Stegostoma tigrinum: one gene and its partners. The protein of the gene in region 4 purifies or fractionates together with the protein of the main gene of each other region. This does not show direct contact. Links are inferred from orthologs where the notes say so. Each region holds a gene or a part of one and is shown on either strand. Other genes may lie near its edges.

The links.
Region 1: the proteins of exocyst complex component 6B-like (region 4) and exoc8 purify together in Homo sapiens (affinity purification with mass spectrometry; 3 studies listed by BioGRID and IntAct, counting the BioPlex papers as one, with this or other methods). This does not show direct contact. The link is inferred for Stegostoma tigrinum from reciprocal best matches to the Homo sapiens genes EXOC6B and EXOC8.
Region 2: the proteins of exocyst complex component 6B-like (region 4) and exoc1 purify together in Homo sapiens (affinity purification with mass spectrometry; 3 studies listed by BioGRID and IntAct, counting the BioPlex papers as one, with this or other methods). This does not show direct contact. The link is inferred for Stegostoma tigrinum from reciprocal best matches to the Homo sapiens genes EXOC6B and EXOC1.
Region 3: the proteins of exocyst complex component 6B-like (region 4) and exoc3 purify together in Homo sapiens (affinity purification with mass spectrometry; 3 studies listed by BioGRID and IntAct, counting the BioPlex papers as one, with this or other methods). This does not show direct contact. The link is inferred for Stegostoma tigrinum from reciprocal best matches to the Homo sapiens genes EXOC6B and EXOC3.

Annotation. Positions count from the first base shown.
Region 1 is NC_081357.1:94,381,351-94,388,348, reverse strand, and holds exoc8 (exocyst complex component 8), read left to right. Parts: upstream 1-3,993; 5' UTR 3,994-4,186; coding exon 4,187-6,391; 3' UTR 6,392-6,648; downstream 6,649-6,998. Other genes in the region: DNA-dependent metalloprotease SPRTN, read right to left, coding at 2,593-2,692, 3,255-3,499. UniProt on the Homo sapiens protein: Component of the exocyst complex involved in the docking of exocytic vesicles with fusion sites on the plasma membrane.
Region 2 is NC_081354.1:109,168,389-109,176,170, reverse strand, and holds the start of exoc1 (exocyst complex component 1), read right to left. Parts: upstream 3,003-7,782; 5' UTR 2,909-3,002; intron 1-2,908.
Region 3 is NC_081355.1:20,903,116-20,910,224, forward strand, and holds the start of exoc3 (exocyst complex component 3), read right to left. Parts: upstream 3,024-7,109; 5' UTR 2,725-3,023; intron 1-2,724. UniProt on the Homo sapiens protein: Component of the exocyst complex involved in the docking of exocytic vesicles with fusion sites on the plasma membrane.
Region 4 is NC_081354.1:184,934,343-184,942,293, reverse strand, and holds the start of exocyst complex component 6B-like, read right to left. Parts: upstream 3,007-7,951; 5' UTR 2,776-3,006; coding exon 2,678-2,775; intron 1-2,677. UniProt on the Homo sapiens protein: Component of the exocyst complex involved in the docking of exocytic vesicles with fusion sites on the plasma membrane.

The DNA of each region.
Region 1 (6,998 bases), on a different chromosome or scaffold from region 4:
CTCTAAAACCATCATGTGACTAAACTTATGACATTTCCAGCTAATATTCCTGGCAAGAATTTGACAGGGAAAGGCACGCCTGACTGAAGGACAGTGGAGAAGGCACTAGACATTCCAGAAGACATTTCTAGTTGTAAATTGAGAGATTAAGTACTTTTTAATTAAATTTGATTTATAAGTGTAGGACTTCTATTTACTATAGCATACCAATAGAATTTTGTCTTATCCTGGAATAGTTTCTAGTTCAGGGGGGACAATTGTTCAGTTTCTAAGTAGTTATGTTTATTTGTTTATGGTTCGAGTAGTTAAATTGTTACTTGCTGATCTAGAGTGAGACTGTCAGGACCTCATTTCATTTAACCTCCCCTTTATAACAGATTGGGCAGTGAGAGGCAGACTATCACTTTTCACACTTGCTCTAAGAAACGAGGAGGAGAGGCTATCTTCTCTAGGGTGTTTCGGTTTCAGTTAGTTATCAGAGGCTGGGGTGGGGTCAACCTCTTTAATAAGATGTATCTATTGTTCAAGTATTCCAGTTAATTAAGAGAGGTCCTCAATGTGTAAAAACACACCTGAGTAATAGAAACATAATGCAATGGGTATGCACACATACTTTAATTACAGAATGAATTAAATTACTTAAATATGATGCAACCTTAAGACAGTCATCTCATTTGCACCCTCAACTGATTACTTGTACATTGCTAAGACTGCAATAATACAGTAAACCTGTTACTTAAGGGATATGACTTGCTGGTTTTATCTGAGATTGCAGTTAAAAAAGATATACTAAAAGCTCCAAGGGAATTTGGATTTAAGATGGTTATTTGGCCTGGAGCAAGCTGGAAAGAAACCAATATTGATGCAAACTGCCTTCAATGGATGCCAATACAACCATTTAAAAAGCTCAAACTGCATGAAATCTGTATGTACATCTGAGGTATAAAAGATGCTCACTTTAAAATAAAAATGCCCCACTTTATCAAGTTAAAAATCCATAGTTTTTGAGACTAAAAGTAGTTAAGGTCCAAACAAAAAAGTAGTCATGGCCAAATTTGAGATTTGCCTCACTATTACTGACTGGGAGTTCTACTTCAGCTTTTGAAGTCTCCCAGAGATTACACCAGGCATACTTGCAACTGAATTCGCTAAATATTCATCGTACTACCTTTCCAAATGTAACCACTTTTTTGCTCCGACCTGTTGTAAGTTTGAAACCCTGTACAATTATCCTCTTCACTAGCAGAGTGCTCCACTGTGTGTAGCAAGTGAAATTCAGCTAGGATTTGATGCAAGATACTTTCATTACTTCCGGTTAAGACTGATTTAGTTGCTTCTGTGATTCCAGTTATCTGGGATGCACCTCTTCCTGGTTATGGAAGGATAAGCAGCATGACTGAGGGATTGCAGAAAAGATAGAAATCCTCTCTACAAATGGTAGAGTTACTAAAAAGAAGTTTTCTTCAAGTTATCAGGCTTTTCATGTTTGCACAGGGAAGCATCACTTTCATCCCCAAACTCCAATAAAAATATAATAAAAATAAAAACTGCAAATGCTGGAAATCTGAACAGATTTGTGTTTTCAATAACACAAACAACTTGAAGAAACATAGGTCCAGTGACATCTGGAGAGAAAGCAGAATCAAAGTTTCAAGTCCAGTGACCCATCTTTCAAAACTACCAGACCTGCTGAGTTTCTACTGTAATTTCTGGTTTGTTATTATTGTAAACAAGAGTCTGTTTTGGCTTTCCAGCATCTGTGGCCCTTTGGCTTGTGTTTCCAATAAATACATAGTTTGCTTCATCGCTAAAATATTTTCATTTCAGCCAGCTCAAACAAGCTAGACAGACACCTCAGTCAAAATCAAAAAAGCTTTTGCTAAGCAGAAGCTGTGCAGCTTAACCCCACCAGTTATCCTCAAAAATGTCAATTTATAGGATAAATGGACATGTGGGACAAGTAGCCAGACAGCAAGAAAAATAGTTTACGTTCATAGATTTTTAAATTCATTTTCTTCAGATGTCCCTCTGCATCAGTCATTTATCTGAAGTTACAATATGGAAATCTACCACCTTAGCAGAGAACACGTTACTGTCACTACATCAGTGATTTCTGAGGTAATGCAAACCTGATACCCTTGGAATTTCAGAACTATAAAAACTTTCAACAGAGGGAGCAGCCTTGAACTTATTACAATGCAAGGAGGGTGGGAAGTATATGGACCTTCCATCATTAACACTATCCTGAAGAAAGGATCATGTTCCACAGAAGCATCCTTGCAGAAGAAATTCCTAACCTGGGGGAGATCAGTGCAGTTAGGACCACAGATTCACCAGCCACAATTTCTAAAAAAAAGTGTTGCAAAGAGAACACAGTCACAGGCTAACTAAATTACAGAGTATGTTAACAGGCTGAACTGCCTACTTGTAGAGTAGACTCAATTGACCAGGCACACTTAATGCCAGAACAGAGGCTGCAAATAATGTTTGAAGTTAAGTCTGAAGTGAAATCAGAATTTTATCAGCACACCAGCCTACTTCTTGTAGGAAGGAAATACCAGAGGTCACAGTATTGACACAATCAGCACATACCTCAACCAAGTCTCGCCTGGGTCGCAGTTTCAGCAAAGGTTCACTGATACGTATAGAACACAATCCTCCTCTGCCCTCATAGCTGCACACACCCGCACAACTGTAACAGATCCACAGTAGGTAAGCTCAATTTATTCAGCATGAGAAACAGCAAGTAGCACAAACAATCAACAAGAGTGAAGATTTAATGCAGATGTCAAAAGTGCATTGTCAAGTCTATCCAACTTTGTTTAGAGCGATTTTTTTGTAAAGGAAAAGATGGCAAAAATTGAGATTCAAGATTCCAGATTCCCTCCTTCAATGAGCAGGTCTTTTCAGCACATGCAAGAAAAAAGTACAGCTATTATTTGTAGAGATAACAGAGTGGAGGTGGAGGAGCACTGCAGCATCAGAAGAGCAGGCAAGATGCCATTTCGGCCCCTGCTTTTCTGGTGTTGCCTGACCTGCTGTGCTCCTCCAGCTCCACACTGTTTTATCTCCGACTCCAGCATCTGCAGTTCTCAGAGTCAGCTATTATTTGTGCCGTAGTCTTCTGGATTGGATATTGACGCTAAGTTTTGTTGACCGGCTTCAACAAGGAGACAGGGGAGTGGGATATCGCGGGAAGCACCGACTCCCCTTTCAGCAAACCGCGGTGAAGCCGCGGCCTATCCACAACTCACAGAGTCATCCGCGGGCTCCAGCGAACCTCCACCCCGGACAGCCGGCCCCAGAAATACAAGTCATTAAACTGCAGGAAGAGGCCGTGCAGGTCGGGGTTCGGGTCGATCAGCTCCCAATCCGGGTCCACCACGGACAGAGACGCCGGAGGCTGCGGGACCATACCAGGGCTCGAGCTGGCATCGCTACGGTCCTCCTCGTCCCAGGAGGCCTGCAACTGAAGCGCCAACAACAAATCACCATCCATACCGCTCAGCACCGCCTCCTGCAACCACCCAACTGACGTAGACAAACGGAGGTAGGGCCTCTCCCTTTACTTGGCGAATCACATGATGGAGCCGCAAACATAACAGCCAATGGCAGCGCAGGATGATACCACGGGCCACCCAATGACAAATCAGAATGGGACTACCAACGTTAACCAATGCAAAGTCAGCATTGGAGAAGCAAATCAACAGCCAAGCACAAAAAAAAGCTCAGCAGGTCTGGTCATCTGTGAAGAAAAAGATCAGAGTTCCGGTGACTCTTCCTCATGCAAGCGCACAATTAAAGACAGACAGCCAATCATGATCTAGACAGCTGTCAGAGCGACGAATGGGACTGCGGGTCACGGGGAGCACGGCAACCAATCGGACGCCGGAACCGCCACAGCGTGGCCAATAGGAGAGCGGATTACTGCTGGCGGCGCACCAGTCAGAAGTCAGTATTGGCGCAGTGTGACCAATGGGACTGCGGGTCGTTGCTGACGGCCAGCCAATTGGAGGCTGCAGATGAGCGGCGGAGCCCAGGCCTCGGTAGTCGTTTGGAGGAGCGACCTGACGCAGAGAGCAGGGCCCCCGAGCGTGGAGGCCGGACGGGAGCAGTTGTGAAAAACCCGAGGGCGGTATATATTGTGGTGGGGTGGCTAAATCAACCTCCCACCGGCGGCGGCAAGATGGCGGCGGACGTGGCCTCCAGGCTCCGGCGGCAGCTGGAAACCCCCCGCTTCGAGCCGGCCCAGTACGTGAAGCAGCTGTCGCAGCAGTCAGATGGTGACCGCGACCTGCAGGAGCACCGACACAAGATCCAGAGCCTGGCCGATGAGACGGCACAGAACCTGAAGAAGAATGTCTACAAGAACTACCGGCAATTTATCGAGACGGCCCGGGAGATCTCCTACCTGGAGAGTGAGATGTACCAGCTCAGTCACATCCTCACCGAGCAGAAGGGGATCATGGACGGCCTGACCCAGATGCTGCTGACCGCCGACAGGGAACAGCAGCAGCAACAGGGATCCCGCCAGCTGCAAGCCTCCATGGGCACGGCTGGCGGGACCTCATCGTCCTCTCTCGGCTCCTCCACCACAACTACCACCACCACCACCACCACCTCCACCTCCTCCTCCTCCGAAGCCTTCCTTATCCTGCCCCGGGAGGCCGAGGAGCACAAGCAGCGCACCCTCACCACCCTGCTGGAGAAGGTGGAAGGCTGCCAGGACATCCTGCAAACCCCGGGCCGCTACCTGGTCTACAACGGTGACCTGCTTGAGTGCGATGCCGAGAGCGCAGCTCAGATCCAGAGGGTGCACGCTTTCCTGATGAACGACTGCCTGCTGGTGGCTGCCTGGCTGCCCAGCCGCCGCGGGGCTGTTCGCTACCGCTACGACGCCCTGTATCCACTGGATAGCTTCGCCGTGGTCAATGTCAAGGACAACGGGCCCATGCGGGACATGTTCAAGATCCTCATGTTCCCCGACACGCGGGTCTTCCAGGCCGAGAACGCCAAGGTCAAGAAGGAGTGGCTGGAGATCCTGGACCAAACCAAGAAGAACAAGGCCCTGACTGAGCGCTTGGAGGTGGAGAAAGAGGAAGCCAAGGCCCGGCTGCTGGTGGCCGAGGAAGAGAAGCAACAGAGGCCTCTGTCACCGAAAACTAACCCATTTGAGGATGAGTCTGATCCAGCCATGGAGTTGGTGGACCTGAGCCTGGAATGGATTCAAGAGCTGCCCGAAGACCTGGATGTCTGTATTGCTCAGCGGGACTTTGAAGGCGCTGTTGACTTACTGGACAAATTGAACGAGTACCTGAGTAGAGCAACCAGCCAGCCCGCGGTGCGCCAGCTGAGGAGTCGTGTGGATCAGCGGGTCCGCCGTCTGACTGATGTGCTGATGTATGAGCTATCCCCTGGCCGCTCGCTCCGAGGTGGTCCACGGGCAACCCGCCGTGCTGTTTCTCAGCTGATCCGGCTGGGTCAGTCCACTAAAGCCTGCGAGCTCTTCCTGAAGAACCGGGCAGCTGCAGTGCAGACAGCAATCAGGCAGCTGCGCATCGAGGGAGCTACCCTGCTGTACATCCACAAACTCTGCAACATCTTCTTCACTGGCCTGCTGGACACGGCCAAGGAATTTGAGATGGATTTTGCTGGTGACAGTGGCTGTTACTCGGCCTTTGTGGTGTGGTCACGCTCAGCCACCCGGCTGTTTGTGGATGCCTTCAGCAAGCAGGTATTTGACAGCAAGGAGAGCCTGTCCACCACAGCTGAGTGCGTGGAGGTGGCCAAAGAACACTGCAGCAAGCTCAGTGAGATCGGCCTGGACCTCACCTTTACTCTTCAGGCACTGCTCGTCAAAGATATTAAGGCAGCCCTGCACAGCTACAAGGGCATCATCATGGAGGCCACCAAGCACAGAAATTCAGAAGAGATGTGGCGAAGAATGAACTTGATGACACCGGAGGCCTTGGCAAAATTGAAGGAGGAGATGAAAGCCAGTGGAATCACCAATTTTGATCAGTACACTGGAGATGACTGCTGGGTCAATCTCAGCTACACCATTGTGGCCTTCACAAAACAGCTGATGGCCTTCTTGGAGGAAGGGCTGAAGCTATACTTCCCTGAGCTGCACATGGTCCTTTTGGAAAGCCTGCGTGAGATCATCCTGGTGGCAGTGCAGCATGTTGACTACAGCCTGCGCTGTGAGCAGGACCCAGAAAAGAAAGTCTTCATTCGTGAGAATGTTTCATTCCTGTATGAGACTGTGCTCCCTGTGGTGGAGAGACGGTTTGAGGAAGGAGTTGGAACACCAGCCAAGCAGCTCCAGGATCTCCGCAATGGATCTCGAATCATTCGTGTCAATCCAGAAAGCACTAATTCATTTGTATAAACTCTAGGAGCACTTACAGATAAACCAATGATTGCAGACATTCCCTGCACAAGCATACACTTTTTTTTTATTAATTGCTTCAACACTAATGCTGCATAAACATTGTTTGTGGGACTCATCATGAACTCGCTACCTTAATAAATATACAACATGAAGATCAATGTTCTCCAGTAGATGTGAGCTGCCAATTTCAATTTCACCTGTCCTGTATTTTTGTGTCCTGTTGTATTCCACTAGTAAAAGCACTTGTGGCAGTATTGGTATTTGTTTTAATCAGAACACCGCTATGCAAGAACAATTGAACTTGATGAGAAAGTCTTTGCTGTTCAGCTGATCAGAATTCAGCATAGGAAGATTACATTTGAATTCTAAATGCCAAAACTGGGTTTTTTTTTAAAACTTCTCAGAATTATGGAACACTTAAAAAGAGTTTCAGCCTTTTAAGTCACAGGGAAGTACATCTATTTCAGCAACGACTAAAACATGCGGAGACCGCTGTTTCATAGAGTCATGGCATGTTGAACGCAGAAACAGGGCATTATATCTTAAAGTATGCATTGATGCTACTCTAACATAGTGTCACCGTCCTGACCAAGTCTGTTTTCAA
Region 2 (7,782 bases), about 76 Mb from region 4:
ATCTTCCACTTGCCTGAATCCCGCCTGCCTTTTGAATTTTTGTCCCCAGTCAGGGGATATGTCCCACAGTGACTACACTTCCAAAGTTTTTAAATTGGCTGCGAAGTACTCTGAAATAGCTGAAAGTCATGAGGTACAATAAAAGTTTAGTTATTCTTTACTATTTAGGATTGTACCATCTGCAAAATGATGCATTTTTGGCTATTTCATAAAATGCAAAACACAGATATGATAATACATAAATGCCAATCTTTCTTCTGAAGTAAAAATTCAGTATTGGATTACCCAAGTACTCAATACAACAGTATTCAACATATTTTCCTGCCGAAAGTAGGTCCTGAACTTAGCTAGAGACTCCACATACAGTCTTTTGTTAGGAATTCCTTTAAATTTTCCAGGCTCCCAGTTTGAACATTCCTTTCTTGCCAAGTTTAAAATGGTTGTCTCATCTTTGCAGCCTCTCCCACAACTGCTGCTGTGTTCATACTGATATGCTGCCATTCATTTTCCCAACGCTTGACATTCCTCCAACCACAAGATGTTTCACGCATTTGCTGCAGAAAGGCTTACCAGTAGATGTACTTGAGGCTATCAGCATCATGGGAGAGAAATGGCTTACCAGTGGAGGGACCTCTCCTGATTTTTCCACATATGAATTCAGGAGGCAAGTGTACTCTCACTGGTTGACCTTGTGATTAAATTTTCACAGGCTTGGTGAACCTTCACATTAAACTGTTGGTTCCCCTTGCTTTATTCTGTGCAGGCTTCTATATCAATCAATCACTCAGTTCAAACCTATGATAATGCATTTCAGAATGCAACTCAAATATTCTGGGTGTGATACCTTTCCCAAAACTGCCAAAAAAAAAAATCTATATCGACAAGTGGACATCTGTTCCTCTACAGCTGCTGTCTGGCCAATTAAGATTCCAGTATGTTTTTTGTTCAGATTTTTGACACCCGCACAACTTTGTACTTCACATTCTGGGCTGCTGTTGAAAGAGATAATGGGAACTGCTGATGCTAGAGAATCCAAGATGACAAAGTGTAGAGCTGGATGAATACAGTAGGCCAAGTCGCTGCAGTGTCTCTTGTCGATGCCACTATACATTGGCGGTTGGAGGAAGTGAATGTTTAATTGTGATGGGATTAACACAGAGAATAAAGTTAAAATGTCTGAATTAAAAGGCCCTATCTAAATGTGCATGCTGTACATCAGAACAAGCAACCTTTGAGTAACAAAATGACTGAAAAGTAGAGATAGATGTTTCTAGTGTTCATTAATGTAAAACTTTACAAGGTGTTTCAAACAGGTGAAATTAGTTGCTCAACGGTGAAAGTATAGGAGAGAACCAAAAACATGATCACGGAAGTAGGTTTTAAGTAGAGTGGGAAGAGATGGCCACACAGAAAAATGTACTGTAACAGAGCAGAAAGGGACTAGAGTTAAGAGGCATTTCGAAGGTAAGATGGGGTTTGGCTGGGGACGGATTTGAATTTAATACTTTAGGGAACTAGAGGCCAATGGAGAACAGTAGGAACTGGCATTATAGACCAAGTACCACACACAATGGGTGGAAGACTAGTGAAGTGAATTGGAACTTGCTTAGAGGAGCTAGGGACATGAACTAAAGCAGTATTGATGGGCAACAGGAAAGGTGAAGTCTGTACAGTAGAGTGCTTTCCTGTGGAGAAGGAAATGAGCAATCTGGATGATTTGATTCTACATGGATTTTGACTAAGGTCACACAGAGACAAGGATACGAAGTAACTGTAGTGGAGAAAAACAAATGGCTTTAACATTATGAAGGATGCCCAATATACATGACCAGCACCAGATCAGACAAACAACCTGAGATGTAGGCAAGGGAGGGTAAGTAGCCATTAATACTACGTGTGCAGAAACCATGGAACATCATATAGATAGGAAAGAGGAAGGAATCAGTAATGGAACTTAGAGAAAATTACAGAAGCCATGTAGTAAAGAGTTTGCAGGCTGCTTTAGAACAGGGTGCAGTGTAATCAAGTGAGCATTGTGTCACAGATATTAAAGGGAAGGAAAGGAAGGAACTTGAAATCATCAACAGAACTAAATGCCATGGAGGGGTTGGTAAGGGCAAGAATGGTGCACCACAGCTACAATCGCCAAAGGTGGTGTTGGTAACTTTGACCAAGATAGATTCAGAATGAACCAATTTGACCAGCGAGTGATTAAAGTAGTAAATTACAGTTGCAAAATTTATCAATACAGTTAATACATAGTAAAAACTGTATATAACAAGTTCAATTATTTACCAAAATGATTTGGCCTTACTGTTGATATTGTCAAGTTAGAGACACAGAATGAGTCTGGTTGTCTTCCTACATTGACTGGTTGGCACTGTAGACAGAAAATGCAGTGAACTGAAACCTGTTAAAACCATTGAAATCTTGAGGATGCAGGGATCCCCACACACTGATAATGATATTAAGAATTAGGCAACATGCCCTCCTCACAATTTTTGTGGATTTTGTTTTATTTTATTTTATTTTAATTATGCTGATTCACTTTTGGTTTGATTGGAAAACTGCTGATTCTTCTTCAGTGACATTGTGCGACTTACAATCGACTGCAATTGCTCACCAGAATAAATCCAACCAGTTAGTACTGGAGGAACTGAAAATGGCCTCAGTGTGATTTCTGTTTTGAGCAGACAGGAAGATACTGACAGATGGTTCCTACTTTATAATGTACCACATTCTTATCACAATAAAAACTATGATATCCAAGTTTAAATAGCTGGGAAAAATGACACTTTCCAGCTAATACTGTCCCCAATCTCCGGGCTTTTTGCAACAACTCTGACTCGAATCCGAGCCAATTCCCCCGTACTGTTAGCCCCAGCCCACTGCACCCCATCGTGTTTACCTTAAAGCAGAAAGCAGATCCCGTCCAACAGAGACGACCTCTCAACAACAACCAACAGCCAACATCCCAATGCCGGATCCGGAACTGAACCACCTCCACTGTCACATCCGGATATGTACCGCCCGCCCCATATGACAATTTGAAAGGCGCCATCATTCAGACTGGCAAAGCTTTGCTATTTACTCTTTCCATGCTGGAAGAGATGTGTCAGCTCTACAGTCTTATTTTCAGCTGTTTTTCTAGCACTGTCAGAGATTTTAACTAACTGTTAAATGCAAACATTTAGTGAATTTCGATTTTGTTTTGTTGAATTGTGCAGATGGATCTTGTTTGAAAATTTAATCAACTTTTCTTCCAGATTTCCACCTCTTGTCTTCGTATGATCCATACGTGACTCTTTCCTCCCGTCTTAGAATCATACAATACAGAAGAGGCCCTTTGGCCCATTGAGTCTGTACAGCCGAAAGATAAACTGCCTACACTAGTCCCACTTTCTCACACTAGGCTGACAGCCTTCAATGTTATGACACTTCGTCTGTTCATCCAAACATTTTTTTAAAAGCTTGTGAGGTTATCCGCATCAACAACCCTCCCAGGCAGTGCATTCCAGACCCCCAACCCTTCTTGGTGTTGGTGAGCTCCAAACTGCATTTGGCTGTTAAAGACTTGTGTGGAAAAATTGGGCATATTTTTCTTAATGTTTAGAATTCGTTTCTCTGTTCTTGCCATATTTTTCCAACTGTGTCACCGCTCCCCACATTGTTTGGGGCTAAGAAGATACCTCAGATTGAGTTGGCTTGACTGTGGAAACCTTTTTAAATGTTTTCACAAGGGACGAGCATCGCTGGCTAGGTCAGCAAATGTTGCTTACCCCTAATTGCCCTTGAGAAGGTGATAGTAAACTACTTTCTTGACAAGCTGCAGTCCATTTTCAGGAGAAGGGTTTCAAGAGCGAGGGCAGGGTAAGACTTTCTGCAACTTCAGCCCTCTTAACCCCAGATCTCTCAATCAGGCAATGAGTGTCATTGAATGAGTGATCCCCACACATAGGGAGCTGGCAAGGGTTAGCTTTACAGGCTTCCTGCTTGGCAATATCCCCATTATCTGCTAGGTGAGAGTAGACAATGGCAGGAGGAGGCCTTAAATTGGCATTAATCTTCCTGGCCCAGGCATAATCAGGAAGATGGTGGATCCCAACCAGAATAAATGCCCTTGTGTCCAAACTTGCCTCAGGGTGTGTTAAATTTCTCCCATTGTTTTTCATTGAAGTTTACATAGAAAAATTGCTCCCTGAACACCTCCTGATAGGTGCCTCTCTCTTTTTCCTCAATGCCCCTTTTCCCCTTTACTCTGAATGACCTCTCCTTATTCTCCAACTTATGATGTAGAGCTAGCAGAATCCTTACTAATACACCCAAGTCTGGAAGCAACTGTGTTTTGCAATTGGAAGTCATCAAGAAGTCTTTCATCATCAGGCACACTATTCCCTCTGATATTTGTAACATGAATAACCATTGAAAGCACCAAAGATGTAGAGAATCATGATAACAACTGGAAGAAATCAAACAAAGAACTAGCTTGTATGTAGCTCAATGTTTTAAATAGTGCTGCTCAGTGGTCCTTTGTGTTGTTGAGCAACTGTTATATGATATGAAGAGAGGACATTGCTGGAGTGATGAGCTCAATAATGTCCTGATTGGTGTCAAATCAATATTGCATGTCATGAGTTCTGAATTCTTCCAGCTGACATTCACTATGTATAGATTAATACTGTCACATATATGGCAGCCAATATGATTCAGTGCATGATATATTAAGAGCTGCAGATGCTGGAGTCAGAGATAACACAGTGTGGAGTTGGAGGAACACAGTAGGCTAGGCAGCATTCGAGGAGCAGAAATGTTGATGTTTCGGTTCGGGACTCTTTTTCTGAAGAAGGGTCCCTACCCGAAACGTCAACTTTTCTGGTTGTCTGATGATTCAGTGTATGCATGTGCACATGTGTGTGCTGCAACCATCCTTATGTAGTTCTCAAGTTCGAAAGGTATTTGTGGTGCCCCCAAAACACATTAATGTTATCAAATTTTCATCTTAGCATTACGATCTATCTTGTCTGTGTAAATGTTTGATGATTAATTCAATTCAATTCCTGCTGAAAATGTTATTATAGCAAACAGTTAAATACAAATGAGTACAATCCTGTTTATCAGTTTCTGAGAGAATCAAATTGTTACTAAGTACTATTTTTTGCCTTGCAGTATCTTATCTGATAATTAAGTTACATATACAAAGGAATTGGAGGTTAGTATGGAACTGAAATCTAAATATGCAATTATTGCACATAGCATTGAGTATTTTACATGGTCAATATAACAATTTACAAATAGTATGTTAATTAGCAAAGAGGCCAACTCAGTTTGTAAATCAGATGTCAACCGAAACATATACGTTGTCATACGTGATACTTGCATAATGTTTCTAATGTACAAAATATCTTAATGCATTATACAGAGTAAAGTACTTTATAATAATTTCAAAATGGCACAGAGATACTCCATCAGATACAATATAAATATTAGCAGTATTAAGAAAGTAGCCACAATTTTTTTTTATTTTCAGGAATGGAACCACAGAGAACAAGAACCTGGGTGACATTATACAAAATTTACCGTATTACCTGTCAAATCTGAAACGACTTCTTCAAGGAGAAGACCTTAAGAGTAATTAGGATAGAAACATTGGAACAATGTAAGGGGAAAGTCAGATTGGAGAAATTATTTAAAATGATAGATCAAACTGAGCATCAGAAACACAATGTTTGAAGAATTATGAAAAGCAATTCACCAGGAAGCAGAATTGAAAAAGATTTAGACAGTGAAAAGGAAGTACTCATTCACTCATAGCAGTTTGGCAGCTTGTTTGAAAGATTTTGTCATGAATTTTTGAACCTTTCTCAGAGGAAATATATCCTCAAGTTAGAGAGATGAAGTATGAATATACTATGTCTTACCCTTCCCAGGACATCAAAGCTGTACTATTCCTTTACTCTCTCAGTCTTTACTTTGTTCTACATGACATGCGTTAAAAACCAAAGGTTGGCATAATCTGTTCAATGCTCTAAATTTATCCTACAAAATCTTCATCCAAAGCAATGAGAGTGGAAATAGGATAAAGTAGTCTGAGGGAAAATGGAATAGGTCAGCAAAAGCAGAATCTGGGTAAATCAGTGAGAGTGGAAGCTGGTATAATACAGTGGGAGCAAGAAAATGAATGACATAGAGTGAGTGAAAGCTGAATAGCAGCAAACCTTATTGAGGTCGAGGTTGGAAGGGGTTGGGATGAGAACACACCAACACCAGCCAGGTTTGCTGAGGTGCATTCCTGCTACTATGATGCAGGTAGACGATAAAATTTATTGTGAATGTATGCATTATAGAATATATCATAGGTCATATAGGATGAATATATTATAGGAAATTTAGTTTGGTCATTGTAGTTTTTAAATATAGGAAGAAAGGGAAGCTGATGCTATGGTAGCAAAGCCATTATGTGAGCTGTTAAAAATCAAATAATCAGAGTCTTGTTAACTATGTTTTGAGGAGATGATCGACCTTTGAGAACTTCAGAGAAGGTTTAAGTCATTCATGGAATTTTCCAAAAGCAGAAAACCATTTGAATGCAATTAACAAGATTTTGAAATAAAACAAAACACTGACGAAATTTCACAAGTCTGGCAGCAAATCTGGAGCCAGAAATAGTGTTAATATTTTGTGTATAATATGAAAATGATACTGCTTTCTATTTCTCTCCTTGTGTTTGCCATGACTGAGTGTCATAGCCACATCTCCTTCCTCAGTGACTAGGTGTGGCTCTGGATCTGGCTCTGATTTATCCAACACAGATTCCAACTGGAGTTCCATTTTTGATAATGGGAACTGCAGATGCTGGAGAATCCAAGATAATAAAGTGTGAAGCTGGATGAACACAGCAGGCCAAGCAGCATCTCAGGAGCACAAAAGCTGATGTTTCAGGCCTAGACCCTTCATCAGAGAGGAGGATGGGGTGAGGGTTCTGGAATAAATAGGGAGAGAGGGGGAGACGGACCGAAGATGGAGAGAAAAGAAGATAGGTGGAGAGGAGAGTATAGTTGGAGAGGTAGGGAGGGGATAGGTCAGTCCAGGGAAGATGGACAGGTCAAGGAGGTGGGATGAGGTTAGTAGGTAGGAAATGGAGGTGCGGCTTGGGGTGGGAGGAAGGGATGGGTGAGAGGAAGAACAGGTTAGGGAGGCAGAGACAGGCTGGGCTGGTTTTGGGATGCAGTGGGGGGAGGGGAAGAGCTGGGCTGGTTGTGTGGTGCAGTGGGGGGAGGGGACGAACTGGGCTGGTTTAGGGATGCAGTGGGGGAAGGGGAGATTTTGAAACTGGTGAAGTCCACATTGATACCATTAGGCTGCAGGGTTCCCAAGCGGAATATGAGTTGTTGTTCCTGCAACCTTCGGGTGGCATCATTGTGGCACTGCAGGAGGCCCATGATGGACATGTTATCTAAAGAATGGGAGGGGGAGTGGAAATGGTTCGCGACTGGGAGTTGTAGTTGTTTTATTGCGAACTGAGCGGAGGTGTTCTGCAAAGCGGTCTCCAAGCCTCCGCTTGGTTTCCCCAATGTAGAGGAATCCACACCGGGTACAGTGGATGCAGTATACCACATTGGCAGATGTGCAGGTGAACCTCTGCTTAATGTGGAATGTCATCTTGGGGCCTGGAATGGGGGTGAGGGAGGAGGTGTGGGGGCAAGTGTAGCATTTCCTGCGGTTGCAGGGGAAGGTGCTGGGTGTGGCGCGGTTGGAGGGCAGTGTGGAGCGAACAAGGGAGTC
Region 3 (7,109 bases), on a different chromosome or scaffold from region 4:
TTGACCTGTCCGTCCTCCCTGGACTGACCTATCCCCTCCCCACCTCACCACGCATACTCTCCTCTCCACCTATATTCTCCTCTAACCATCTTTGGCCCGCCTCCCCCCTCGCCCTACCTATTTCAGAATCCTCTCCCCGTCCTCCTTTTCTGATGAAGGGTCTAGGCCTGAAACGTCAGCTTTTGTACTCCTAAGATGCTGCTTGGCCTGCTGTGTTCATCCAGCTCCACACTTTGTTATCTCGGATTCTCCAGCATCTGCAGTTCCCATTATCTCTGATCTCAATAAATCACTGGTTCTTGATTTACCATTTTATCTCCAGCTTTCATAACCTTGATGCTGCACTGCATCACAGACTTTAGCCTGTCAACAAGATCAAGTAATGTGGCTCAATGACCCAAATGAAAGAATATTATATGATCAGCAGACGCATAACCTTCTTTTACCACTTTTGCATTTTGTACATTGGGAAAGAAAAAAAGCTGCCAACTCAGGGCATTGGAGTAAGATGCTATAAACCATTTTAGCCTGATGTGTTGTATTACAAAAAGCCAGTTGGCGAAGAACAGAACCTTCTTAACGCAAAGATAAACCTTTTAATTTAACAACAGTTTTAGTTTGTCTAGCTCCTCTGCTAGGAATTCCATCCTTACACTTTATTTCCAAAGTCGATGGAGACTGATTTAGCTCAGTCATTACCAAGATCATCATTTGGCCAAGCACTATCCACTCAAAGTTTCCAAACTGATAGGTAAAATGGGAAGCTAAAGCTCCTAAGAGTTTACCCTGGCCTAGCAGATGGATGAATTTGACATCTTTGGTAGTTGGGCCATTCAGATACAGCGAGGCAGTGACTGGGTTGAATTGATTTCCAGAGATCAATTTACTGCAGAAAGGAAGCATACAAAGGAATTTTGAGTGAACGGTGTCTGTTCAAAGCAGATTTGAGACAATCTCACAAACAGACAGACCTTACAAGACATTGGGAATTGTAAAGAAGCCTGGGCCAGATGCCCCACTGATTGGTCTCTCCATAATCACTCCCTGGTTATGCCAGTCTTCCACCTACAGCATAACAGTGTTCAAACAATTGCATATCTTGAATCTTACTTATGCTGAATAAAATATAACCAAAGTATTATTACTCTGAATCATTTTGGAACTCGGGACAGGAGGCTAAATGACTCCCAGAATCCAGATTTTTTAGCACGCACATGACTGATCTTGATTCATATTTTACACTAGAATTAGTTTAACTGAAATGAGTGTTCAGACTAGGTGGCTGCAGAGTGAGAAAGAAACAATATTGCTTTAAAGTTTGGCTTGAAGCTGCTGAACAGTACAGAACATATAAGGGACAATAGTGAAGTCAGATTAACAGAGACAGAATTACACTTGCTGATACAGTAGGGATGTTGAGCAAGACAGTAAAGTGGCTAGCAGAAATAAACTACAACTTAAAAAACAAACACAATTTTACTGAGGAAAAAACCTCTCTATAGCAGGAATCAAGTTTGTGTTATGAAACATGAAATACTCCCTAAAACAAATACCATTACTGATTTTAAAAAAATGTTTCTGATTGCAAATACATCCTACAACAAAACGGCATTCACAATTTTGCTGCAAATAAATTGTTCATAAAACTGGGGAAAAAATCTTCTCAGACAGTGTCCAAATAAAGGACTTGATTTTGTAATGAAATGTTATAAATAAAGCTACAAAACCAAATACTTCTCTGAAAATCATAAATAATTAGGCATTTATGAAACTAAAGTGATGCAAAATGTATATTGACATTGGTAACAGGTATAGTACTACAAATAATCATCCTATCAAGTTGTCTAATCATGAACAAAAAGTAATGTCCCATTTTGTTGGTAGCTGCAACAAAACAGTGGTCATTCCCCACTACATTGCCCCATATGACTTGGTGTTATCAGAATGGAAGAATGGAAATGGAATTCTGCAGAGATACTGAGTGCCAGTTTGTCTCTGTGATAGCAATCACCCTTCTGAAGGCAAAAAGACTGAAGCTTCAACACTAGCACAGGACTCTGCAAAAACTAACGTGACACTTTAATGTAGTACTGCGGGAGTGAATGATCATAACTCCACTTTTCTGCTAGGGTGTTACCCAGAGCTCAGTTCACCTGTTTAAGCTGCTCTCAAATCAATATGCCCTCATTCTGGTTGAACATAGTGCACTACAATAAGAAACTTTAGCTACCTGACCAAGACTAAAGGATAGTAAGTGCTGGATTGAAATTTTGACATAATCCTTTAACTGACACTTCACAATAACAATTCTTTAAGGCTATCGTAAACTTTTGACAATTGCCTTATGTAAAGGTAACTTTCTAATATATTTCATCTCCAGTTCTAGGACAACAATAAATAACAACACAGCTGAACAATAACACGACAGCGTGGGGTAGCAATAGCACAGAGAAGGAAGCAAGTCCCAGATCTTGAAGCTGTAATATCATCATTGACAAGGGTTCGCAATGATTGCCATTTACCAGGCCCTGAGACTGCAATAACACGCACAGTTGGATCTGAGGATTTTAATAAGATTGCTAGACTGAGAACACCAGACAAGCACAGACTCCCATAGACCCGCACTAACATTTACCCAGAGCCAGCGACTGCAATGTCACCAGACTGCACTCTTAATCTGAAACGAAATGCGTCCCGAACCGCAAATGTCACTGACTGTCCTACCCTGGGAACGAAATAACACCACACCCGGGCTCGTTTGACCGTTTCTTGTCTTTTGACGCCTCTCTGCACTTCAAGCAGCAGGAACAGGCCCCAGGCCCGGGCCTAGCACCACCTTCACCACTCCAGATCCTCCTAACCCTGCCTGGGGTACTACGGCCTCTCGCAGCGCCAGAGGGACGGCGGGAAGACAATAACGAAATCGAACACCACGAGCATTCAAACCGTGTCCCGCGACGGCACGAAACTCCGACCGGCCAGATTAGAAACCGCGCCGTCCGACGGGTAGTGTAGTCGGCCTGTCGCATTGGGGAAACTACATAACCCAGCATGCACCACGGCAGAGCAAGTACATTTCCGGCCAGCTGGGGAACGGTTTGGAGATTGTACTTTGGCTGCGGTCTCCATTCCTATCTGCATTAGACTATCCAAGAAATCAGTGAGCTATGTCTAGAGCAGTCTGAAGCTGTCGTAGCAAACATAATTTATCTAAACCAAAGTCTGTATACGCTGCAAAGAGAGTCTATCTTAAAAATAATCTCTACAAACCACAACAAACAATCTATGGCCGAAATTATAGCAAAGTATACTAATAGACACTGGGAGTTACATAAAATCTGGGATCTGGAGTGGGCCATTCAAACCCTTATGCGTGAGCGATGTCAAAAAGATCACGGCTGATCTCACTGCCTTGCCTCTACTTGCCTGCTTGTTTCCCATAGCCCTTGACTTCCTTGTTGATCAAAACCCTAGCTAACTCAACCTTGAATGACTTCAAAGATCCAGCCTTTGCTTCTGCCTGTGGAAGACAATTCAAGGCTAACCAGTTGCTGAGAGAAGTGTGCGAAAGCAAGTTGGCTATGTTGATAGAACGTGAGATTGTCTTAAACTGGGGTTGCGAGCCCAGCTAGTCCAGGCACCACATTTTGGTGAGGATGTGAAGGCATAGGAGAGAGTTCAGAAAAAAAATCATGAGAACGGTTCTCAAGATGAGAAAGTTATGAAGGACCATTTCTGTTGGAGAGTAGAAGGCTGAACAGAGATTTAATAGATGCAGTGAGCAATCCTACCAAAATAGATCGGGAGAAACTTACCATTTGTGAAGAGATAGAGAACATAATGACATAGTTTTACAATAATTAGTAAAAGAAACAAAGGCAATGAGATTTTTTTCACATAATGAGTGGTTCTGTTTAAGGTGTACTAACTGAGATTGTAACAAAGGCAGATTCAGTTGAAGCACTCACAGTAGAGTTAGACTATTATCTGAAAAGGAAGAATATACAGGGTTTCAGACAGAAGACCAGGAAATGGCACTAAGTGAATATCCCATCCGGAGAGCTGGCAGAGGCATGATGGGTCAAACTGCCCTATAATTTGTCAAATTATGTGAAGAAATGCTTGCATTCGAACAGCACCTTTCATTATCTCAACACATTCCAAAGCTTTTTAGCCATTGAAATATTTTAAACAATTGTTACTGTAATAATATAGGGAATTACAGTAACCAATTGTTCACAGGACAAACCCACAGGATAATTTGATAATGACCACATAATTCATTGTTGCTACAGGAATAAATACAGCCCTGGGCACTGGGGAGAAATGCCACTGCTTTTCATCAAATTGTCACATGGTGTTTTCACATTGATCTGAGTGCACTTGAGAGCACACAGTGAGAGTAAGTCTTACCTTAGTGTCTCAATTATAAGGCAGCACCTGCAACTGTGCAGCACTAACACAGTACCGCAATGGCAGTTTCAGCCCAGAATTTATTCTCCACTTCCTGGATCAGAACTTGAACTCAAGACATTCTGCCTCATCCACAACTTGTGTTCCAGCTGAATATTAGTAGCAGGAGTATTCAACACCAAGAGTCTGCTCAAATCATGGCTGGTCTGCACCTCAATTGCATTTGTCTGCCTTGCTCCACATTCTTTACCACTTACCCAACAAAAATCTACTGATATCTGTCATGGACACCTCCAGCAGCCACAGAATTTTGGGGGATAATGTTCTGATTTATGCCCATTTTTCCCTTTTTAATTCACATCAAAATGTTCTTGCAATAAATAGACATAACAATAGCACTGTGTTAAAGAAAGATAGCCTAGAATTTACAACTTCAAACAACACTTGTCTATCTTTGGTGCCTTGTTGAGTTGTATGCTACTTGCAAAGACACTGATAGCAGCAATTCCAAGACGTTTTGACAAGATCTGTACAAATACTTTATTGTAGGTTTTTAAACTAAGTATTTACAATGTTTTGTAATTATAAAACAATAATTAGTGCACACTGCAAAATGGCAGAACTTGAAGGATTCTTTCATTGTCAAACATTGAAAAAAACATTCATTGGAGAAACTGACTGTTTACATGTTCTCCTGATAGATCCACACAATCTGAAAGAAAATGAGGATAATTTTCTTCTATGTATTTTCATTAAGGAAATATGGAATTCAATGATGTAAACTGTACTGTAATGAAGATTTTACAAAGTTTTGTTTTTGAACAGAACCAATCTTCTCAAGCTTTAGAAAAACACAGTTATTGCATATATATATATTTCAAACCCTATATTAAAAACTTTACATTTACAAAGACCTCCAGTTATTATTTTACCATTGAAAACCCTTTTGTCCATATTTATTCTGGAAAGTGTAGCAACACCACATAGGGTAGTGGATAGAATAGTTTTACATAGGGAAGGAAAAATAATAGAGCTTGCAATTATATAGTATTTCTCCAATGTTAGAACATTCCAAAATTCTCATGAGCAATTGAATACTTTTGAATTGTCATCACTGAAGATATGACAGCTAATCCATGCACAACACAACGCAATAATGAGTTCATACTTTATTTTAGTGAACTTGTTTTAGGGATAATTGTTGACTTGGACTTGGACACCAACTCCCCTGTTTTTTCTTTGAAGTAGTACTATGAGATCATTTACATTTACCTGAAAGGGCAGATGGACCCTCAGTTTAAAGCCTCACAGGTCATATCCATTTAAAGGTGGAGACATAGGAACCTATCATAGAAGTGAACAGGAAAGGACAGAGTGTATGATGCCAAACCTGGACTGAAATACATTATTGTGTTTTTCTCCATCTGAAAACAATATTATGTCTTGACTACATGTGTGCAACACTACTTAAGATTGACTGGCATTGAAAATAAAATGTAATTTAAAACTTACAAATGATCTCAGAAATATCTGCCAGTGAAAACTTCTAAAATATGCAATAGGAACTGCAGAACAACTGGGTGTAGAAACCTTGACGTTCTCCAAAAGGGAAGTGGGGAGCTGACAGGGAACAAGTACTTAGCAGTCATAGGTTTGAACTGTTAAACACCTATTTGTTACAGCAGTGGGTTTATGAAATTTGTGTTGTTGTTGTTTGTTGTTGTGGAGTGGGTTTATAAAGTTGACTTTAAGGCAATTTGTTGGAACCGAGGAATGGCTATCAGCAAATATTTGACCAACAAGTGCTTTTTTGCAATAATCTGCACTATCCCAAAAGAAAAAGATTATTAGACACAAACAAAAGCAAAGTATTAAAGATATGACATATGTTAAAGCTAAATTGTCATTTCATAAATACATGTTGCTTTCTGTACATTATTGCTGTTTTTATATTTATTTACAAAAATGAGCAGCAACATTGACAAAGTATTTTAACAGTTTGTAAACAGTGATGGAGAAGCACTTGTTCTCAAAATTTTATCTCTTTAATACTTGATTTAATAGGCTAGGCATATTTGTTTCTCTTTCTGGTGTTCTGAAAGAGACAACACAGAAGAATAAACATTTTTGAGACAACAGGCAAAGAGAATTATATAAATCTTCACAGGGAAGCTGTCTGAATTAAAACGTAATGTTGGGGTTATCACATTTAATATGTGATGTATGGAACAATGTTTAATGTCTCCCAGTGATGTACTGAGGTGAAATCCCTTTGATCTTGCAGTAATTAGGTCACAGATATAATGAATGAATGCAATGGGGTAAAATTGTTTAAAACGGTATCTACTTTCAACCTTAGCTCTAATTTATTGTTACAAGTAACATCGATATTTTTATGTAGATGCAATCAGAATGATGTTCTTAAGTAAATATTTAATAACATGTGATGCTCCTATCTTACTATGTCAATGAAACAATTTGCTGTGTCTGATTTCATATGATTATTGTCTGTGTTTTCTGATTCTTATGATTATGACACTTTTGAACAAAAAATACAAAATCATTTTGACTTGGTAAGTATTCAAAGCATCATACAAATGCAAACGAAGAAGATGAGGAATATGTTGCAGGCACCTGTGTTTATAACAGAATTGCAAATGGGATATTGGCATTATTGGCAAGGCAATAATTTATTG
Region 4 (7,951 bases):
CAATGAAGCACTGGAGTTGTGTCCCGCTTTCTTTTTATCTGTTTAGGTTTCCTAAACAGATAAATAGAAAGCGGGACATAACACCAGCGCTTTCTATTTTTCTGTTTAGGAAACCTAAACAGGTAAATAGAAAGCCGGACATAACACCAGCGATTCATCGGAGGCTCACTGATGATGTTACCTAGAATGGTGACGAACCGTTTGAAAACTAACCTTCCAGCTCAGCAAGCAAACTCACATCCAGAACCTCAACCTGAGTTACAAATCTTCTCAAAACTCGCTATTACTGAATCTGTTGTTGCAGGGTTCACTGACCACAGTTCCTTAAAACAGCTGAGAATCATACACAAAATGAGTGCACTCCCTTCTTAGAAGCTGTAAGAATTGGTGAAATTGCTATTCAATAGAATTCATTTGCCCCTTCACAATATGCATTCTTGAGAATGACATTCTATCCAATGACACACTAAGCTTGGGGAGTGCTCATCTTCAAACTGGCAACACTTCAGGACGAGTTGATCTGACAAGAGAGTGGCATCAGAATACAGTGGGAGCACGAAGACGGGGGTGATCCCATGGGCACTCTAAGATTTGAGGTGCCTGAGGGGGGAAAACGTTGCCCCTCGCAACCCTTTTAAATCTTTCCCCTCTCACTTTAAACCTACACCCTCTGGTTTTGGACTCCCCCGACCCTGGAGAAAAGGCCTTTGCTATTCAACCTACCCACACTCCTATTGATGTTACAAACTTTTATAAGATCATGCCTCAGCCCTCAATGCTCCAGGAAAAAAGCCCCAGCCTATTCAGGTTTTCCCTACTGGTTAAACTGTCCAACCACAGAACACCCTTGAATTTTTTTTCCTGCATGCTGTCAAGTTTAACAACATGTTTCCTACAGAAGGGCGACGAGAATTATACACAGTACTCAACAAGTGGTTTCATCAATGTCCTGTGCACCAGCAACACGACATCCCAACTCCTACAGTCAATGCTTTGACGAATGTAGGCAAGCGTGCCAAATGCCACCACCATCCTGTCAACCTGCAACTCCACTTTCAAGGATTAAGGAGTCATCCCGAGTTGAGGCATTTTCTGGAATGGGGGCAAGGTGGTCGTCCCTAGGTTCAGGAGACTTTGGATGACTGGGGGAGGGGGGAGTTTGGGATAAGGTAGGGTTCAGGATAGGGAAATGAATCTGCCAGGTGGAAGTGTCCCATCTGCATGAGGGAATCCCAGGATGAGGGTGGTGTTCCCACTGACTCTATATGAGAGAAATCCTGGAATAAAGTGTGTGTCTGCCATGTGGGGGTCCCCAGGATGAAGGGCAATCCGAGGATCATGAAATGGCCATCCCAGGAAATGAGTTGATCTGAAAAGAGAGGAGACACAAATGGGTTCTCGGGATGAGATTCCTGTCTCATAAGGAACACCTGGGATCATGGGGTGTTGGTGGTCCCGGAAAGTTTTGAGGGGAATAATGAATTTATGATGAGGCTAAGGGGAATGGTCCTGGGATGTCAAGGCTAAGAGATGCTCTTGGGATAATGGTGGTGATTGGGGCAGGACAGTTGGGATGAGGATGAGGATGATGGTGGTGGTAGTAGAGGAGGGAATGGTCCTGGGACGGATGATACTGGGTAGAGGAGGAGTTGGTTCTGGACGAATGATGGGAAAGGGGGACAATGGGGTGGTCCTGGAGTAATGGTGAGAAAGGGGGAGAATGGGGTGGTCCTGGAGTGATGGGGAAGAGGAGGGAAAAGGGAGTGGTCTGGGGCGATGACGGGGAAGGCAGAGAAGATGCTCGGCCCCGGGGATGACAGTGGGGAAGGGGAGAAAGTGGTCCTGTGGGTGGGGGAGAAGGGGGCTGGACCCTCGGATGAGGGCGGGGTGGGGCAGGGTGATCCTGAGGGTGGGGGATAAGGGAGCTGGACCCTGTGATGAGGGTGGGAAGGGGGCAGGGTGATCCTGTGGGTGGGGGAATAAGGGGGTGGGGTGGTCCTGTGGGTGAGAGATAAGTGGGTTGGACCCTGGGATGAGGGTGAGGAAGGGGGCGGGGTGATCCTGCGGGCGGGGGATAAGGGGGCAGGGTGATCCTGCGGGCGGGGGATAAGGGGGCAGGGTGATCCTGCGGGCGGGGGATAAGGGGGCAGGGTGATCCTGCGGGCGGGGGATAAGGGGGCAGGGTGATCCTGCGGGTGGGGATGAGGGGGGGGAAGGGTGGGGATGAGGGGGGGGAAAGGGTGGGGATGAGGGGGGGGGGAAAGGGTGGGGATGAGGGGGGGGGGAAAGGGTGGGGATGAGGGGGGGGGGGAAGGGTGGGGATGAGGGGGGGGAAGGGTGGGGATGAGGGGGGGCAAGGGTGGGGATGAGGGTGGGAATGGGTGTGGGGATGGGGATGGGGATGGGTGTGGGGATAAGGGGGATGGGTGTGGGGATAAGGGGGTTGGACCCGGGGATGAGGGTGAGTAAGGTCCTGTGGGTGGGGGATAAGGGGGTGGGGGATAAGGGGGTGGGGCCCTAGGATGAGGGTGGGGAAGGGAGTGGGGTGGTCCTGTGCGTGGGGGATAAGGGGGCGTACTCCTGATCCTGGGCTGGGGAGGGTGCCTGTATCTCCTCTCCCAGTACGGCGGCGTGCTCGGTTCAGCCTGAGCCCTAACCCCCAGTCCCGGCCGCTCACCGCAGCGTGGGCCCGATACAGGCCGAATCCGTGCTCTCGATCTCCCGCAGGATTCGCTCGTGCTCCGACGCCGTCTCCAAACTTTCCGCCTCCGCCATCTTGCTGACTTTATGTTAACGTACCGGCGCTGCGCGATGACGCACGGACAGGGGGCGGCGACCCGGGCATCAAACGTCACAGGGCGAGGGCCGAGGCATGCTGGGAATTGGAGTCCTTCCCGCTCGAACTGACCAGGCTTTCAGAGATAATGGGAACTGCAGATGCTGGAGAATCCAAGATAATAAAATGTGGAGCTGGATGAACACAGCAGGCCAAGCAGCATCTTAGGAGCACAAAAGCTGACGTTTCGGACCGAGACCCTTCGCCCGAAACATCAGCTTTTGTGCTCCTGAGATGCTGCTTGGCCTGCTGTGTTCATCCAGCCTCACACTTCGTTATCCTGATCAGGCTTTCCACCTGGTGGAATTAGCGCCTGCGCAGAGCCAAATCAGTAAAGAGCCTCCTTGTGGCAATGACTGGTATTGGCTGACTCGTTACCAGTTAGTCGGAAGAAACATCGACGATAGGAGATGGAAGAGGCTATTCTGCCCTTCTAGCCTGCTCTGCCGTTCATCAATCTTCTTCTACAGGTAACTTCTTAACTATCCTGATGACCATTAGACCAGACAATGAGTCACTGTTCAATTGGACCCCATACAATGGAATGGGATTTGCTCTCCATTTCTCCCATTTTCCAATACTTTGGCTTTCAATTAACTCTCTGGAGGTAAATCTATATCCTTCTCCAGTAGAGTTCGAGTAATGTCTGTGTCTCTTAGGAGAGTATTGGGCTTCAACTCTTCCTTTGAAGAAAAAGGGTTTTTTTCCTTCAGAAGAAAACCCTTCACATTTCTCATCTATTCTATGTATTATTTCTACACTCACAGCAATGTTCCCTCCTGACTCTTAGTTGTAGTTAAAACTACAACCTGATCTGCGTGGCCTTTTCCTATTGAGTTTCCTTTTCATATCATTCTTAGAAACCCATTAAGCTCCATTGATTTATTTTTCTACTTTCAGCATTCTGGATGAATATGTCCCACATTGTTTCAATGGAAACCCATGAGCTTACAATTGTCATCTTCACCCTCAATGCTTCCCTTTCTGATCTGAGGAAGTGACCTTGTCTTTTACTTCCCTTTGGAGTTCCTCACCCAGTTTTTCATTTTGTCCTCATCCTGCAGTCGCTTAATTTTTCATTGAATATCACCGATTCTGACATTTCACTACCTAAATTACTCAGCGTTTTTTATACTTCCTCCAAGTGCCTCACTTGTACCTCATTTATCTCTGACTTTCTAGCTTTTTACCTTCAGGCAGTGCTACATCCATTTTACTAAACCAACCTTGGTTTTGACATTTCCTTCAAGACCACCAGCAAAAGCTCTGCCACCTGCAGAAATCCCTTGATATTTCCAGTGCTATGCCTTAAGCACAGTACAGGGCCTGGTGTTTTTCTTTCTGTTGTATAATTTACTCATGCACCATTCTAATCCTCATTTTCTTTGTTTCTGAACCAATCCGACACAAGCCCCAAATTCTGTAAGAAGTAGTCTGCTACAAGTTGAGCCCTGGATGATTGTGAAAGTTAAAGCTTTTTGAGGGTTCCCAATTTACTGGACTTTCAAACCTAGGTTGATAGAATGCACAGACCAGATTTCTACACTGAACAAGAATGACTAACTACAGGTAAATAGTAATGAACCGTTAGCATATGATACTACTAATTAAAATCCAGCCTCCTTATAAACTCCTCCCTTACTTACTTACACAGGCAGACACACACACACACACACACATGCATACATGCGGGCACACATAGTATAGAGAGAGGAGAAATAATGGAAAGTAGACTTTGCTCCCAGGTTCTATCGTATGGCTCTTCTGCTGACCAGCAATTGCTTCAACCATCTTTTTCCAGATGCTTTCACTGCTTGCTCAGGGACTCAAGGTAGTTTTCTTCAGGTTTACAGAGAACACGGAGACTGCTCCTGAGCTAGGGATGGACAGAACACTTCTGTCTCCCTCCAACTTGTTCCTCTAAGCTGTTCAGTTTCCGGAGAACCATTCACACAGTTGTTGACAGGAAAAATAGGAAGCCACCAGGGCACATGCCACAATGTGCAGAGAATGAGAATCAGGCAGGAAACTCGCAGGCCTGGCTAAAGTTCTGACTGTAGTTGTAAATCACTGTGGGGCACTGCTGAGAGAGAAAATGAGGGCAACCAAATCCCTGACAGTTACCAGACTTTGTATTCAAAGAAAGGGTGGCCAGATTTCCACAGGGTGAGGCAAGCAAGCCACCTGGGGAGGCGATGGCCTGGTGGTATTATCACTGGACTGTTAATCCACAGACCCAGATAATGTTCTGGGGACCCAGGTTCGAATACAGTCATGGCAGGTGGTGGAATTTGAATTTAATAAATATCTGGAATTAAGGTTCTAATGATGACCATAGAACCATTATCGATTGTCAGGAAAGCCCATCTGGTTCACTAATGTCCAGGGAAGGAAACTGCCATCCTTACCCGGTCTGACCTGCATGTGACTCCAGACCCACAGCAATGTGGTTGACTTTTAACTGCCCTCTGGGCAATTAGGGATGGGCAATATATGCCGCCTGATCAGCGAAGCCCTCATCCCGTGAATGAATAAAGAAAAAAGAATGGGGCTGGTCAAATGCTGCTCTGGAAAAAGGCATGTACAAGATTACGGTAAAGGGGCTTGCAGAAGGGTACTTGCCCATACCTCTTTACTGGGTGTCAGGACCAGTGACTACCTTATCCAGTTTCTATGTGAGAGAGGTCAATCTGGTCCTTGGGACTGATCTGATGGGGTAGTAGTATCCCCAGTGGTCACTGAGGTCAATGAGGTCAGGGAATCCTAACGGCTCCAGGAGAAACTGTCTGGCATTCTCCCTAAGTGTATGCTCATAAAGTCAATACAACCTGAGACAACACAACAAACAGAAAACCCCCTGAACCAACAGATAACAAGGTGTGGAGCTGGAGGAACACAGCAGGCCAAGCAGCATCTCAGGAGCAGGAAGGCTGACGTTTCGGGTCGGGACCCTTCTTCACCCGCTGATCCAGTTGTCTGAAAGCTTTTCTGGAATCTACAAGACATCAAGAAGGTAGTAAGGAGACCTTCCTTGGTAACATCCCACCAAGATGATCTGGTGTTCAAAGCCCTAACTCAGACTGCAGAAGCAGTCCCTAAATGCTGCTACATTAAAAAAAAGAGGTGTGGGTGTAGGAATGGAGATCTCCCTCATAGATAGTGGACAGTGACCACCAGGTGGCAGTGCTGCAAAGGGACGGTGGAGAAATATTGCAGCCAGCTGGTCACGCTGGAAAATGCAAAACCCACTCCCACATCAGCCAATATTTTAAGTGGTCACAGCTCCACAAGTTGTAGTGAGGTCTTGCAGAAGTTTTCAGGTTATGGGCAAACCCCAACTCACAATAAGACCTGCCCTAGGATTCCCAAGTTTGCATTGTTTTATTGTTCATTCATGGGACGTTGGTGTCACTGGCTGGGATTAGCACTTATTATCCATCCCTTACTGTCCAAAGGGCATATTGCTGTGGGCCTGGAGTCTGGAGCCAGACTAATGGACATTAGTGAATCTGATATGGTTTTCTGACATTCAGCAATGCTTTTGCAGTTATTATTATTAGACTCTTCGTTCCAGATTTTCATTTAAGTCCACAATCTGCCATGGCAGAATTTGAACCCGGGTCCCCAGAACATTACCAGGGTCTCTGGATTAATAGTCTAACAAAAATACCAGTCGGCCGTTACCTACCGGAAGGTTTTGTTTCAGGGAATCAGTCAGCAAAATGTTGACAGACTGTGTAGCACCCCTCAAGAAAAAAAGGGGCGATCAATACATCCTCATCATCATGAACTTGGTTATCTATTTTCCAGAGTCTGTTCCTGAGAACCATATCCACCAGAGCAGTGGAGTGGGAATTGGTTCAATTCTTCACTTGACTTCGTCTGCCCAATGCGATCCGGCTTGTTCCAATTTGTTCAGATATCATCCACAGTTATGGGGGAGAGGGACGTTGGAATGATACCCTCAGACCCTGAGAACAATCATCAGGGCACACTGCCATGAGTACTGTGTGGAGTTCTGGTCGCCCTGTTATTGGAAAATTATTATTAAACTGGAGGCAATTCAGAAAATATTTACCAGGCTGTTGTCAGAAATAGAGGGTTTGCGTTGTAGAAATAGGCTGGATAGGACATTTTTCATTGGGGTGCAGGAGGTCAAGGGGTGACCTTCATAGGATTTTCTAAAATCATGAGGGGCACAGATAAAGTGAATAGCAAAGGTCTTTTCCCTAACGTTAGGGAGTTCAAAACTAGCAGGCCTTTTTTTTAAGGTGAGAGTAGAAAGATTTATAAAGGAAATGAAGGCAACAACCTTTTTATTCAGAGTAGTTCACGTGGATTTCCAGAGGAAGTGATGGATGCAGATACAGTTTAAAAGACATTTAGATAGGTTCATGAGCAGGAAGGGTTTGAAGGGTTATGGGTTAATTGCAGGCAGGTGGGATTCATTTAGTTTGGGAAAGTGGTCAGCATAGACTGGTTGGACCAAAGGACCTGTTTCCGTGCTACATGACTATGAGCATTCCCATGACTGGTGAAAAAGGACAAGATTTTCCGCTGTTCACCACCAGGGACTCACCCACTGAAACCATGGATTTTACTTTAGTTATTTCACAGACACCAAGTGTGAGAGCCTCTGGAATTGATCAAGGAGGTATTTTTGGAGCAGGGGAGCAGGTTTCCATGTTAGAGTGTAGCTGCATTCCAGAAGCAACTCCTGAGAACCTTGAAAATCTCCCAGAAAGCAATGAAAAAGGCCAACAGAGCCAAAACCTGTCAGCCAGAGGACCACATTGTCAGTGCTCCAGGTGAACCCTAAAGTGAGATAACAAGGTGTGGAGCTGGTTGAACACAGCAGGCCAAGCAGCATCAAGGGAGCAGGAAGGCTGACGTTTCGGGCCTAGACCTTTCTTCAGAAAGTTTTCTGAAAAAATGAAATATTTATCTCCTTCTTGGTATATATTACTCTTGGTATATATTACTGGTATATATATATACTACCAGCCCAGAGTCATTACCAGAACACTACCACCACTATTCTACAAAGCTTCACACTATAGCACAGTTCCTCATTCCCCAATCAAAACAGGAAATCATTAAGTTCTTGGGGTTGAG